Saccharomyces cerevisiae S288C: one gene and its partners. The gene in region 2 interacts genetically with the main gene of each other region. Each region holds a gene or a part of one and is shown on either strand. Other genes may lie near its edges. The genes, in order: TRP1, PET9, REB1 and VPH2.

Region 1 (2,917 bases), on a different chromosome or scaffold from region 2:
TGTAGTTTATTCTATCTTCCAAAGTTAAGTCAAAGTTTGAGCTTGATAGGAAGCTTTGATTTGTCATTGAAGTGGCAGTGGAATTATTAATGTTGTCATTATTAGCGTTAGTGCTTGCGTTACCTGATATTTGTTGATTTAAAAAAATTGCGCGCTTTAATGAAAGAGGGTTTGAACTGAGAGGATTATTAGAATGCAAATATGGTTGATGATGGTTTCTAGAAAATTTTTTCTTTGATATGCCGGAAGGAGTTGGATGATTTAAAAGAATATTTTGATTACGATAGTATTGATTGTGGGATGATAATTTTCTTAAAGAAGAATGCAAAATAGTGGGTACGGAATGCGACCTCATTTTTTTATTTGAAAAGATCCTTAAAAAGTTAGAAGCATTTCCTGGTGGCTGTTGTTGTGCTGCTTGTTCTTTGTGTGGTTCCGTTGCTGGTGGCAATTGCGGCGCGGATGCAGACGGTGGTTGCTTTGACGACGGTGGTGGGGAGGGAGATGGATTGTTGATATTAGTATAAATATTCTTTGGGGGTATCGAATCAACTTTATTGTTCCTCCTTATTTCTTCTTCATTATCATCGTTTTTCAAGAATTGACCAGTCTTGGTGTCGAACGTCTTGAATATAGTATTGTCCCTGTCTATAGGGATCTTCAAATCACTACTATTAGCTGAATTGCCACTGCTATCGTTGTTAGTGGCGTTAGTGCTTGCATTCAAAGACATGGAGGGCGTTATTACGCCGGAGCTCCTCGACAGCAGATCTGATGACTGGTCAATATATTTTTGCATTGAGGCTCTGTTTGGAATTATATTTTGAGATGACCCATCTAATGTACTGGTATCACCAGATTTCATGTCGTTTTTTAAAGCGGCTGCTTGAGTCTTAGCAATAGCGTCACCATCTGGTGAATCCTTTGAAGGAACCACTGACGAAGGTTTGGACAGTGACGAAGAGGATCTTTCCTGCTTTGAATTAGTCGCGCTGGGAGCAGATGACGAGTTGGTGGAGCTGGGGGCAGGATTGCTGGCCGTCGTGGGTCCTGAATGGGTCCTTGGCTGGTCCATCTCTATTCTGAAAACGGAAGAGGAGTAGGGAATATTACTGGCTGAAAATAAGTCTTGAATGAACGTATACGCGTATATTTCTACCAATCTCTCAACACTGAGTAATGGTAGTTATAAGAAAGAGACCGAGTTAGGGACAGTTAGAGGCGGTGGAGATATTCCTTATGGCATGTCTGGCGATGATAAAACTTTTCAAACGGCAGCCCCGATCTAAAAGAGCTGACAGGGAAATGGTCAGAAAAAGAAACGTGCACCCGCCCGTCTGGACGCGCCGCTCACCCGCACGGCAGAGACCAATCAGTAAAAATCAACGGTTAACGACATTACTATATATATAATATAGGAAGCATTTAATAGAACAGCATCGTAATATATGTGTACTTTGCAGTTATGACGCCAGATGGCAGTAGTGGAAGATATTCTTTATTGAAAAATAGCTTGTCACCTTACGTACAATCTTGATCCGGAGCTTTTCTTTTTTTGCCGATTAAGAATTCGGTCGAAAAAAGAAAAGGAGAGGGCCAAGAGGGAGGGCATTGGTGACTATTGAGCACGTGAGTATACGTGATTAAGCACACAAAGGCAGCTTGGAGTATGTCTGTTATTAATTTCACAGGTAGTTCTGGTCCATTGGTGAAAGTTTGCGGCTTGCAGAGCACAGAGGCCGCAGAATGTGCTCTAGATTCCGATGCTGACTTGCTGGGTATTATATGTGTGCCCAATAGAAAGAGAACAATTGACCCGGTTATTGCAAGGAAAATTTCAAGTCTTGTAAAAGCATATAAAAATAGTTCAGGCACTCCGAAATACTTGGTTGGCGTGTTTCGTAATCAACCTAAGGAGGATGTTTTGGCTCTGGTCAATGATTACGGCATTGATATCGTCCAACTGCATGGAGATGAGTCGTGGCAAGAATACCAAGAGTTCCTCGGTTTGCCAGTTATTAAAAGACTCGTATTTCCAAAAGACTGCAACATACTACTCAGTGCAGCTTCACAGAAACCTCATTCGTTTATTCCCTTGTTTGATTCAGAAGCAGGTGGGACAGGTGAACTTTTGGATTGGAACTCGATTTCTGACTGGGTTGGAAGGCAAGAGAGCCCCGAAAGCTTACATTTTATGTTAGCTGGTGGACTGACGCCAGAAAATGTTGGTGATGCGCTTAGATTAAATGGCGTTATTGGTGTTGATGTAAGCGGAGGTGTGGAGACAAATGGTGTAAAAGACTCTAACAAAATAGCAAATTTCGTCAAAAATGCTAAGAAATAGGTTATTACTGAGTAGTATTTATTTAAGTATTGTTTGTGCACTTGCCTGCAGGCCTTTTGAAAAGCAAGCATAAAAGATCTAAACATAAAATCTGTAAAATAACAAGATGTAAAGATAATGCTAAATCATTTGGCTTTTTGATTGATTGTACAGGAAAATATACATCGCAGGGGGTTGACTTTTACCATTTCACCGCAATGGAATCAAACTTGTTGAAGAGAATGTTCACAGGCGCATACGCTACAATGACCCGATTCTTGCTAGCCTTTTCTCGGTCTTGCAAACAACCGCCGGCAGCTTAGTATATAAATACACATGTACATACCTCTCTCCGTATCCTCGTAATCATTTTCTTGTATTTATCGTCTTTTCGCTGTAAAAACTTTATCACACTTATCTCAAATACACTTATTAACCGCTTTTACTATTATCTTCTACGCTGACAGTAATATCAAACAGTGACACATATTAAACACAGTGGTTTCTTTGCATAAACACCATCAGCCTCAAGTCGTCAAGTAAAGATTTCGTGTTCATGCAGATAGATAACAATCTATATGTTGATAATTAGCG
Region 2 (3,423 bases):
ATGATAAAAATTGCATATATGTGGGTAGAAACCTTAAAAGTTATAATAAAGGGAATCCCACGCAGGAGCGGCATGGGAAGATAATATAATGAAACGAGCAAAAAATGGAGTCAACGTATGGCGTATTAAGATTGTGTTTATTTTTATGCAGGAAGGGGAATCGCACAGATAGTCAATAACCAACTGGCCGACTAACTGCATAAGAAATCGTTGTTTTTTTTTTCGAAGGCTCATTCAGATAAAGAAATCACTACGCGTTTTGTCTGTGAAGTCACAGATTTGAAAAATGAGAACGAAAAACATAACCACCTATGAGATTGAGTCCCTACATTTTACCATTTACGCTACTAAGTTACCCAATATCGTAACACGAAATAACAAGTTAAGGGGAGGAATGAAAAGGTTATCAAAGCGGCAGGAGACAGGAGGAATAACGCAGGACGAGACCCAAAGATAATATTTCTATAACGAAGTCGTTCGAACCCATCAGATTTCTGCTTTGATTACATACACAAGCTTTGTTTCTTTCTACAGGTGATTGTATGTGGGCTTATGGTATGCCTGCAGGACGCGTATGCATGTACGACGGCACGACCCGGAGCAAAACGGCGAGTGCTCTAACGCGGTGTATGGGCTAGATTCGTAATAGGGCTCTGGGTTTGCTGCAAGGGGTAATTATCAGCGATGGAATGACTCCGTTACCGCCCGACGCTATGTACGCCTTTTCCGCGTGCGCCGGTCTTTACCGGCAGGGGAGAATGTGGTGACGGCGGAGCCGGCGTATGGTGCCTCTACAAAAAATACGAAGTCTCATTTTAGTCACACTGATTTTCATAAGAAATGAGGAAAAAGAAAAGAGATGAAAATTGAGAAAAAAAAAAAAGCATTGTCGGGTAACAAATTATGTAGTGAAGATCAAAGGATATACACACAAACGAAGATGCGCATTAGCCACGTCCATCCCTTTCCCTTTTTCCCTTTCTACTCCGTTTTTACAATAATGTACGTTATAAAACAAGCGGCTGAAGAACAAGTTGGGAATAAATGTCAGCAAGGAAGATTGGTGTAAAGTGAAATCAGATAAGCAACTTAATACACAACCTCAAAAAGAAAAAATTACCATGTCATTCATACCTATTGTATGTGGTATGAAGAGTTTCGACTCTTCATACGATACCGTTCCCGGACATCAAAACCTGTATTGCCCGAATTGTCACAATTATAGTGTCGGCCCCATAAAAAGAAAGGAATTTTTCACTATTTGGTTTATACCGTTGGTTCCGGTCTTCTGGGGAAAACAGTTGCACTGCCCCATATGCAATTGGCGACAAGATTTTAAGAATGACGAACAGCTTAATAAAGTCATTCAAGAACAACAAAACTTACGACAAAAGCAGCCCAACTGATAACGAAATAATTTCCTTTTCTTCCTCTTATATATGTATTTATATATATGTGTTCACTATAACCATACATATATTATACAGAAGTATAGACACGATTTTTCCATACGTAACAAATAACATCACGATGCACGAGCACTGTTTCCAATGGAGAACAAGCGAAAGGCGGTAAATGCGCTATGCTGATTGGTGTAGAGCGCGGGCCAATGAGAAGGCCCCACTCTCAGAGGGTGAGGTGCGATTATCGGGGACATGTCTCCGTCGATCGGGCCCACGTCGTCGCACAATATAAATACCATTTGAGTTTTTAATATTAATTTTTCACGACAACCCACTCAAAAAAGTATATATTCACTGTTAGTTATACGGAACATTGCAATACATCTACAAGTCAAAGGAGCCCCTCTATATTATTTATATTTGTCGTTGTTCTTTTTTGTGTGCTCTTTTATACTTCAGAATCATACATTAACATACATATAAGCAAATAGCCATGTCTTCCAACGCCCAAGTCAAAACCCCATTACCTCCAGCCCCAGCTCCAAAGAAGGAATCTAACTTTTTGATTGATTTCTTAATGGGTGGTGTCAGTGCCGCTGTCGCCAAAACTGCTGCATCTCCCATCGAAAGAGTTAAACTTTTGATCCAAAACCAAGATGAAATGTTAAAACAAGGTACTTTGGACAGAAAATACGCAGGTATCTTAGACTGTTTCAAGAGAACCGCTACACAGGAAGGTGTTATCTCATTCTGGAGAGGTAACACTGCTAACGTTATCCGTTATTTCCCCACTCAAGCTTTGAATTTCGCCTTCAAGGACAAGATCAAGGCCATGTTTGGTTTCAAGAAGGAAGAAGGTTACGCCAAATGGTTTGCCGGTAACTTGGCATCTGGTGGTGCTGCTGGTGCCTTGTCATTACTATTTGTTTACTCTTTGGATTATGCAAGAACTAGATTGGCTGCTGACTCCAAGTCCTCTAAAAAGGGTGGTGCTCGTCAATTCAACGGTTTGATCGATGTCTACAAGAAGACCTTAAAATCTGATGGTGTTGCTGGTCTTTACAGAGGTTTCTTACCTTCTGTCGTTGGTATTGTTGTCTACAGAGGTCTATACTTCGGTATGTACGATTCTTTGAAGCCTCTATTGTTGACTGGTTCTTTGGAAGGTTCATTCTTGGCTTCATTCTTGTTGGGTTGGGTTGTTACTACTGGTGCTTCTACATGTTCTTACCCATTGGATACCGTTAGAAGAAGAATGATGATGACCTCCGGTCAAGCTGTTAAGTACGACGGTGCCTTTGACTGTTTGAGGAAGATTGTTGCTGCTGAAGGTGTTGGTTCTCTATTCAAGGGTTGTGGTGCTAACATCTTAAGAGGTGTCGCAGGTGCTGGTGTTATCTCAATGTACGACCAACTGCAAATGATCTTGTTTGGTAAGAAGTTCAAATAAGTCTAATCTGGCTTGATTCTTAATCTAAATTCTTTCTCACATTTTCCTTTTTTTCTTCTTTGGATTTTTGGTGTTTAATGAGTGACACGATTTGTTTTGATAATATTATTATCCTCCTATTTTTTTAGAAATTCTTTTCAACAAGAATCAAAGATTCATAAAAAAAGAAAACGATGAAATTTTTTGAACAACTTTTACGTATAAAGAAGAAAAAAAAAAAATTCTAAATATCCAGTAAATAGTTTTATATTAGTAGTATTCTTTCCCACTTTTTAAATGTCATCACATGATGTTTCTTATAAAATGCAATTTTTTTATTACTTAATCACCGCCAAATAGGTCTATCACTCTTTGTGCCGGTGGCAGTACTTTGCTTAAGGTTACTGGACAATGAACCACTTGTCTTACTTTTAACCAACCGAGTCTTTACATTTGTGTGTTCCTTGGATTTTGCAGAGGTTCCTGACGATAAGTTGTTCATAGACGTCGACCTAGAGAACGTTGTTTGCTTGTAAAGTCTATCAAAAACGGAAACTGAATTCTTCAATTGCGAATTTGTTCCTTGCGCAA
Region 3 (4,907 bases), 170 kb from region 2:
AATAATAAGTGGAGGATAAAACGTAGGACTTCTGGTGAATTATTTGAACCAAAGTGTCGTATATTAGGCTCTTTTTCTTTTTCTTTTACCAGACTTGGTTTTTTTCTCTCTTTAGTAATTGTTTCTATATATGGCTTATCAATTCTATATATTTTTTAACTTGAATATATGAATGACATCTTTAATAATCACATCTCGGCAAACGACTGATGAGTTCCACCTGCTTATTGTTTATTTCCTTTCGTACACGCCGCGCTTGGCCAGTCCTTCCAAGAATGTAGGCAGAAGAAATCAAACTAACTTGTAAGAGAAAGAATAAAATTCATTATACATATAGGTAAAATAATATAAATACAACGGCTCCATGTGTAAGTTGGAAATAAAAACAGTTGGCGTCAAGGAAGAAAAAGAAAGTCAATATCCGGCAATAAGTGAAGACAAGATTTGCCAAATTGTTACAGGGCTAAAAAAAAGATAAATGATGAAAAATAACGCGTACTATCAAACATTATTGAGTTTTTCGCTTTCACCAATTATATTTTCCGGAATTAATTTTCTGTTTTCATTGAAATATTGGAGCTAAAATAATCAACTAGCTCTTTACTGATTTCATTGATTGATTTTTGCTTATAGCCTTTGACCTTTTTCTTCATTCTTTCATAGCACAATTTCAACTCTAACCCATTTAATTTCATGCCAGGCTTCAAAGCTGCAAGTTCATCCCAATCTACTTGAGAATCTTCTGTTATACCTAAATCTCTTAATTTTTCAAAAATCCATAACATATCATCATCTTTTACAGTCTGAATTTTGGCAATTGCTTCCCTTTTGACCAATTTATTCCATTTATAACGACATTGAATACGTGATCTCGTACCGCCCATACGCTCACTGACAATGGTCCAGTTAATGATGTCTTTGAAATCTAACTTACCGTTACCCATCAAAGATTTCCTCAGTTTATTATTGTGACGTCTGATTGTATTTGACAAACTTTTAGAATGTGTGCTTGTTGCTGATGGAGCAGGTACCATTGAGTTCTGGGAATTATCATCGAGCTGTATACCTAATGAATCGTGGGGTTTGTCTTCGTCTTTGTTGTCTCCCAGGGATGAAGAAGCAGCAGCGGCAGCAGCGGCAATAGCATCGTCATCATCTTGCTGCTTTTGTTGAAGAAGTTGTTGTTGTTCTTGAATAGCAGCAGCAGCAGCTGCTGCTGCAGAAGCTGTATCATCATCGTCTTCATCGTTATTGCGATGATCATTCTGGTCATCTTGCAGTAAATGCTGTTCTTCTTCCAATAAGTTTGGATGCAATTGAGACTGTTGTTGCTGGGCTTCTTCCAACATATCGCTGATAACCTTTTTCAGAAGCTCTTCTTCTTCAACGGACCATCTATTTGATGCTCTATTGGTACCACATTTTACGTAGTTTCTCCAACGATCCCTACAATCTTCTGGCATTCTGCCTAAAGTTTTACCTATTTCTGCCCATTGACCTTCTTTTTCTGCACATAATTTAGCTAGCTCTTGTTCCTCCTCCGCGGTCCATTTACCACGTTGTTCAAAAATGTGATATTTTCTTCTCATGTGTTTGTAGATAGAGGAGCTAGATCTATAGGGTAAGACTTTGTAAATATTATTCCAAAAGTTGTCCTTTGGCCTGTCGGAACTCCATATCCTTTCACAAACTTGTTGTCTAGTCAAACGTTCAATGGCCTCATACTCGTTAATAAATCTTTCTAAAGCGGCGTCTTCGGCTTTATCAAAAGCTTTGCTATTGTTAGACCTTGAAGTCGATGGCGTTGCTGAGGATGAGGATAAAGATACCAAAGATGATGCCTTTGTGGCGGCTGATTGAAGTAGTTGAGATATTTCTGAATTGTCCACGCTGCCAGCTTCATTATCATGAGAGGGAGATTTTTGTTGGTGTGGTTGAGTATCTTGAGAGATAACTTTGGGCAAGACTTCCATATAATTTCTAGATTTGTTGAGGGAACTATCCAGCATAGAGTCTTTCTGCAGTTCAGAGTATTGCTTTGTACTATTTGATAAATCATCTGTATCATCATTGTGATTCTTGTTCTGATGATTCAAACCGTGTGTACGCATCAAATGATCTTTAATATGCTTTAATTTTTCGTTATCGTCAGTATCAGCCGCAGTATTCAAGTATTGCTGGAAATCAGGATGTTGGGTAATCGAATCAGCGTCGATAATGGCCTTATGGACCAGTTGATCACGATCAATCACATCATTATTAGTATCGTTGTCATCTGCATCACCCAAGGTGGTTAATTCCGGATCTACGTTTCCAATTTGTCTGTCATCGTCATCATTATTGTTTTTCCGCTTTTTCTGTGAATTCTCATGATTATTTCCGTTATCATGCTGTCTTTTACGCGAATTGCTATCGTTCGCAATACTGTTATTATTATTGTTATTTTTCGATAGAGTGTAAGCAGCAGCGACGGCGGCCATCGCCATAGATTGATGATCATCGTCCACACCAACACCCGCATCTTTCTTATTCTTGTCGTCGTCGTCATCCACGACTATGTCAGATTGAGAAAAGTGATTATTACTGTCATTGCCGTTGTCAGTGTTATTATTGTTTTCGTCATCTTCGTCGTCTTGTTGATTATGCGCTGTTTGCCTTAAATACCAATCCATAACTGCGTTATGTTGTTCATTGGAGTTGGCATGATCCACATTCGAAGATGATTCGTTCGCATTCAATGCGCTAATATTTTCAGAATCATCATTATTATCCTCGTTTCTATTACTGTCATCATTGTTATTAACATCAACATCACTACTACTTTCCACAATATTCTGCTTTTTCGAGTGTTTGTTTTCCAGATCCTTCGTATGCAATTGAGGGTCATGGTTCTGGTGATCTAGACCTACACCGACATATTTCAAAACAGCCTCTTCCACAGACTCTTGATTTGCGTTTTTATCGTTATGACCTGAAGGCATATTGATTGAGCTATAAATATTCTAATTCAGCAGCAACACGTGAGTTCAAACTAATAACGATAGTGTGTAGATAACCTTGCTTGTGATGATGTTTATTTATTTACTTTAGGTTGGGTCCACAGCAGGGTAATAACAGCCTGAGTTTTGTTGTTTTATCTTGTGTGGTCAAGAAAGCTGCCATTTGTTTGTCGTTGTCCTTTGTGAGGGTAGGTCCCTTGGCCGCCTTTGGTTTGCCACCCGGCATGGGCCCAATTTGAAAGACGGGTAACAAAGTTGTTGCTATATATCACGTGATCAATTTTTCCGAGGAGCTTCTAGAAGAAAATGAGACACAATTTCAATGTATTGAAAGTTTACGTAAAATTTATAGGAGCAGGTTGGGTATACTGGTGTCTATGTAAGCGTCAATGTCATTTTCTGTTTCAGCGTCAGTATCAGTATCAGTGTCAGTTTCCGACTCGAAAATGAAGGTCGAATGACTTGAAGTTGACGAAGGTTTTACGGGGGAATGATGACTTATGTTGGATAACTTGAGATCGGAGTCAACCCGAAGCACACTACTGAAATCTGTTTCTCCTGCCTGTAACAAAACATTTCTTGGAACATCGCGAACATCGTGCCCACGCTGATAGTCTCCACTATTACTACTGATAATGGCAGTGGCAGCGGCAGTCGTAATAATTGCGTCACTCGCGACGTAAACGCTGTTATAATCATAGAAACTTCGCTTACTTGCTGCGTTGCCAATACAGGGATCTAGTTCAGACTTTGAACAAGGGCGCTGTTCATCAGTCGAATTCAACCGTGTAGAAGGAAGCCTTTGTATGAAATGCTCATCAGTTATAATACACTGTTCAACGTTATCGTTAAATTTGATATGCCTCTCTCGTGGCTTGCCCATTATATCTCTCCTTTTGCGTGCCTTAAACCAGCTTCTCCAAAAAAGGTTCTCCAATCTTTGATCATTGTCCACTTTCTTGTGTTTTTGTAACGGTAAAACATTTTCATTTTTTACAGTGTTGTTCGAGCTTCTCACATGCTTATTATTTTTATTGTAATTGTTTTTACTACTACAATTGATAAACTTGATGAATTTCCATAAATTTAAATTCAAGATTAAACTTCTTTGCTCGTGAAAGTCGAAATTTTTCTTCTTTACTGCTGGCAACATGCACATTCTTTTCTTGTTTATTTTCCACTGTTTGGCATTCAAAGACTTGATTTTTTTTAAGCAATACGTACCATTTGCAGCGGCGGGAGGATATCCCATATCGTTTCTATTCATCAAAGTTCTGACCGCCTCAACGAATTTACTACTTTCTTCTTCCTCTGGAGGGTCCTGGAATAAGTTATCCAAAGAGTCGCAATTACTCAAAGTCATTCTCACACACTTTCTTGTTCCTATTTTTTTTTTCTTATTCCAATATATTATTTTATCAGAAGACAGACAGCAAGAACGACAGCCTAAGTTTCGAGACAACGCTAAATTTGACGGACATGCGAAGACATGCCATATATAACAGTACGTCCAGGAAGAAGCTGCAACTCAAGAAGCAATAACTATTTTATGCATTATTAGTTAATTAAAGGGGGTATGGTGTGGCTAAAAACGAGTAAAAAAGCAGCTTGTTGCGATGTTAGTAATGATAACTATAAGGTTTCCGTGTTGACACAATAAGCGTATAAATTTAATCACTCCCCCCACGTTTTTTTATCCAGTGCTGCCCCGCCACATGCAATCGGGCCGTCGGAAAAGCAAGAGAAGGACAAACTATCGGGCAAATGGCCTGGAAGGGACCTTCCCCATTGGCCCTTGACTATAGTCCTTCAGTCCTTCAGTCCTTCAGTCCTTCAATGTTACAGTTATACCATATCGTACTTATGTAAAGATATATACGGTTTTACAAATCTTTGATACGGTCGTAA
Region 4 (2,965 bases), on a different chromosome or scaffold from region 2:
ATTTGCTCCTCCTTTTAAGCTTTCACTTCCGGCTCTATTTCCTCTTCTTCATCTTCTTCATCGTTTTCTTTGAAATCTCCCATGTCCAAATTACCACCGCTTTGAGCCAATAATTGCTGCAATTGAGCCATATCTGGAGAACCAGCGCCACCAGCACCTCCCATCATTTGGCTGAAGTCCATGCCTCCAGCACCTCCAGCACCTCCAGCACCTCCCATCATTTGGCTGAAATCCATTCCTTGAGCGGCATCATTACCTTCAGCTTCAACTTCGTCTTGTTCATCTTCATCAACCCATTTATCGAAATCAGTTTTGATGTAAGGGTACTTCACCTTTTCCTTTGTCAAACGTGGCCAGTATTCAGATTCTAAATCCTTTTTATACAATTTCAAAAAGTAGTGCTGGCCATTAGCAACCTTATGCATTGTTTTTTCAGGTATAATTTCCTTGTATAGATCAATGTGTAATTGATAATGATGGACATTTTCATCGCCAACATGAGGCTTTGATTGAGCCTTTAATTCGATGTATGATGGCTTAATGGTTAACTCAGGGGCATCACAGTCTGCAATTGACACAGTTATTAAGACATAATTTCTTTCTGGATCAGTAGTACTAGACCTTTGAGCCCATGCAACTTGAGGGTTAATAACTTTATCGGACATGACTATTATGAATCGATGATCTTGGGAACTTGTTGTTGTAATGAATTGAGTCCACTAGGTTTCTCGAACAAGTTAATACATTGCCACCCATTTCGTCTTTTTATGCTTTTTTCCATGCTAATTCTTGCCGCTCCTCTCCGCCCCTTCAAAAACACTCGGAAGGCGGGTAGCATTAAAAGTCGAACAGTTTGTTGGTAACTTTTGTAGGTATATGTGTACCAATAACCACAAATTAAGTATTGATTATCACAGTCAACCTCTTTGTATATCAAAAATTATACTCTGTATTCATAAAAGGCAGTTATTTTAAAAGCAAGTAACGGCAGGAAAAAAATTATTAATAAGTATAAAAAGATTGGACGAGTCCGGAATCGAACCGGAGACCTCTCCCATGCTAAGGGAGCGCGCTACCGACTACGCCACACGCCCTATTTACTGTTAGTGTATTTCCACTTAGATTACTATAACAAGCTCTTTTAAACAATAAAACAGTTCTATAACAACCGATTTACGAAATTCTTCTGAGTAAATGAGGTCACAAATGAACTTTCTTTAACTTCCTCTTTGTCTCCATTCGTTTTTCCATGCTTTTTTTGTTTCTGTCGAAATGAAATCCTTGTATCATCTATTGGCTAGTATTCGTCTTCCTAGAATATTATCACAGCGGTGTAAGATGATGACATAGAGATTGGGAAACAGTTATCGGTCTTAATGGAAGCTGAAATGCAAGGATTGATAACGTGATAGGGTAATGAATGGCAAAGTATAGAAGAAAAGAAGTTAGAGTAATATTATCATGTAGAAAGACCGATTCCATTTTGAGGTTTCCTATACCCTCGAGGGGAACTTTTAGGATATTCTGTGTATCTCATACTATAGTCTTTAACTATGATTGAATCCGAACAATTATATTGTTCACGAAATACTCAGTTTTACAAAAATCTTGTGTATTTAACTGACTCAAAGTAGACATGACGGACGTGTGAATATTTAAAATGAGAAACGAGGAAGCGAAAATAAAGCAAATCTCACATGAAAACGCTGAAAGAAATGAAGAAAAGGTAAGATAGGATAATTGACGATTGGCATCACATAAAAGAACTCTAATGTTCGAAATTAAACTGAATGATAGAATAACTGAATTTCTGCGAAAGTTCAAGAATAGCGCGAAATCAAACGAAGGAATTGATGAGGACATTGATTTGTTCCTGAAGCGACACGCAATACCTATGCAGTCACTTCTTTTTTATGTGAAAGAGTATAGAAAAGACAGTGATCTCCAATGCTCTATCAAAGAACTTTTGAAACCTTTGGAGTTCGAATTCAAGCCCAAGGCCGTCAGAGGTTTACACTATTCAGAGGATTTCAAGAAAAAATTAGAGTTTTTGAAATATCAGGAACAAGAACTTGAATATCAAAGTATGGTCAAGAGAAGCAAGTCTGTCTTTTCACTTCAAGAAGACGATGAACTCACGCCTTCACAAATTAATAAACAGATTAAGGAACAAGTTACCACTGTTTTCAACGTTCTTGTAAGTGTCATATCGGTTGTTGTGGCCATTTGGTACTGGACCGGATCTTCAACAAACTTTCCGGTCCATGTTCGTCTTTTGTTGTGCTTGTTCTTTGGAATATTGGTCTTAGTAGCAGATGTGGTTGTGTATAACAGCTATCTGAAAAAACTCGAAGAAGCAAAAGTAAAAGAAAAAACAAAGGTTGAGAAAAAGAAAGTTCTAAGCAAGATTACACTGTAACTGATCATTTTATAAATAAGAACTCCGAGATCCGAGAGCATATAATTCTTGGAACTGGACAATTGTGAATAATGTTCTGTATGTTTATAATTACGTTTATAAAACTATCGTGTATGAATGTGAAATAAAAAATGCTCTATTATCCTTAATGCTACATAATATGAAGAAAAAGGTTGTAATGAAACCATTAGTAAAGTAGAACTGTCCTGGCCAATGAATGAAACTTCAAACCTCGGAGTTTGTTATGGGAATTAATTATGGCCTAAAACTCTCGACTCTATCGAATAAACTAGTTTCATTGTCTGTTCCATGAAGGTCAAACACATGATTGTATGAGGTGCGATTCTGAACACTTGAGCTGCAAAACCCTTATACAAAGCGGTTACACCTTCGATTCTAACAGTTTTGACCAAACAATCTATAGGTCCCTTGTACAAGTCACCTTTTTGATTATAGATTCTTGTCAAAATGACATCCCATGGGTTCATAACGACGGCAACACCTAACCCAGAGATAGTACTAGCAGTTAAATGTAATGCTGGGCCA

What was found.
Region 1: of PET9 (region 2) and TRP1, extra expression of one impairs growth in a mutant of the other (dosage growth defect), as found in Saccharomyces cerevisiae (one study listed by BioGRID).
Region 3: of PET9 (region 2) and REB1, extra expression of one rescues a mutant of the other (dosage rescue), as found in Saccharomyces cerevisiae (one study listed by BioGRID).
Region 4: of PET9 (region 2) and VPH2, extra expression of one impairs growth in a mutant of the other (dosage growth defect), as found in Saccharomyces cerevisiae (one study listed by BioGRID).

What each region holds. Positions count from the first base shown.
Region 1 is NC_001136.10:460,173-463,089, forward strand, and holds TRP1 (phosphoribosylanthranilate isomerase TRP1), read left to right. Parts: upstream 1-1,669; coding exon 1,670-2,344; downstream 2,345-2,917. Other genes in the region: SOK1 (Sok1p), read right to left, coding at 1-1,075.
Region 2 is NC_001134.8:162,471-165,893, reverse strand, and holds PET9 (ADP/ATP carrier protein PET9), read left to right. Parts: upstream 1-1,896; coding exon 1,897-2,853; downstream 2,854-3,423. Other genes in the region: YBL029C-A (uncharacterized protein), read left to right, coding at 1,122-1,406; SHE1 (She1p), read right to left, coding at 3,179-3,423.
Region 3 is NC_001134.8:333,838-338,744, forward strand, and holds REB1 (DNA-binding protein REB1), read right to left. Parts: upstream 2,982-4,907; coding exon 549-2,981; downstream 1-548. Other genes in the region: protein phosphatase regulator REG2, read right to left, coding at 3,346-4,362; RFS1 (flavodoxin-like fold family protein), read right to left, coding at 4,883-4,907. UniProt on the Saccharomyces cerevisiae protein: DNA-binding protein that recognizes sites within both the enhancer and the promoter of rRNA transcription, as well as upstream of many genes transcribed by RNA polymerase II. It is essential for cell growth. May stimulate or inhibit transcription.
Region 4 is NC_001143.9:218,024-220,988, reverse strand, and holds VPH2 (Vph2p), read left to right. Parts: upstream 1-1,771; coding exon 1,772-2,419; downstream 2,420-2,965. Other genes in the region: Hsp90 cochaperone SBA1, read right to left, coding at 15-665; OAC1 (Oac1p), read right to left, coding at 2,671-2,965. UniProt on the Saccharomyces cerevisiae protein: Required for vacuolar ATPase assembly.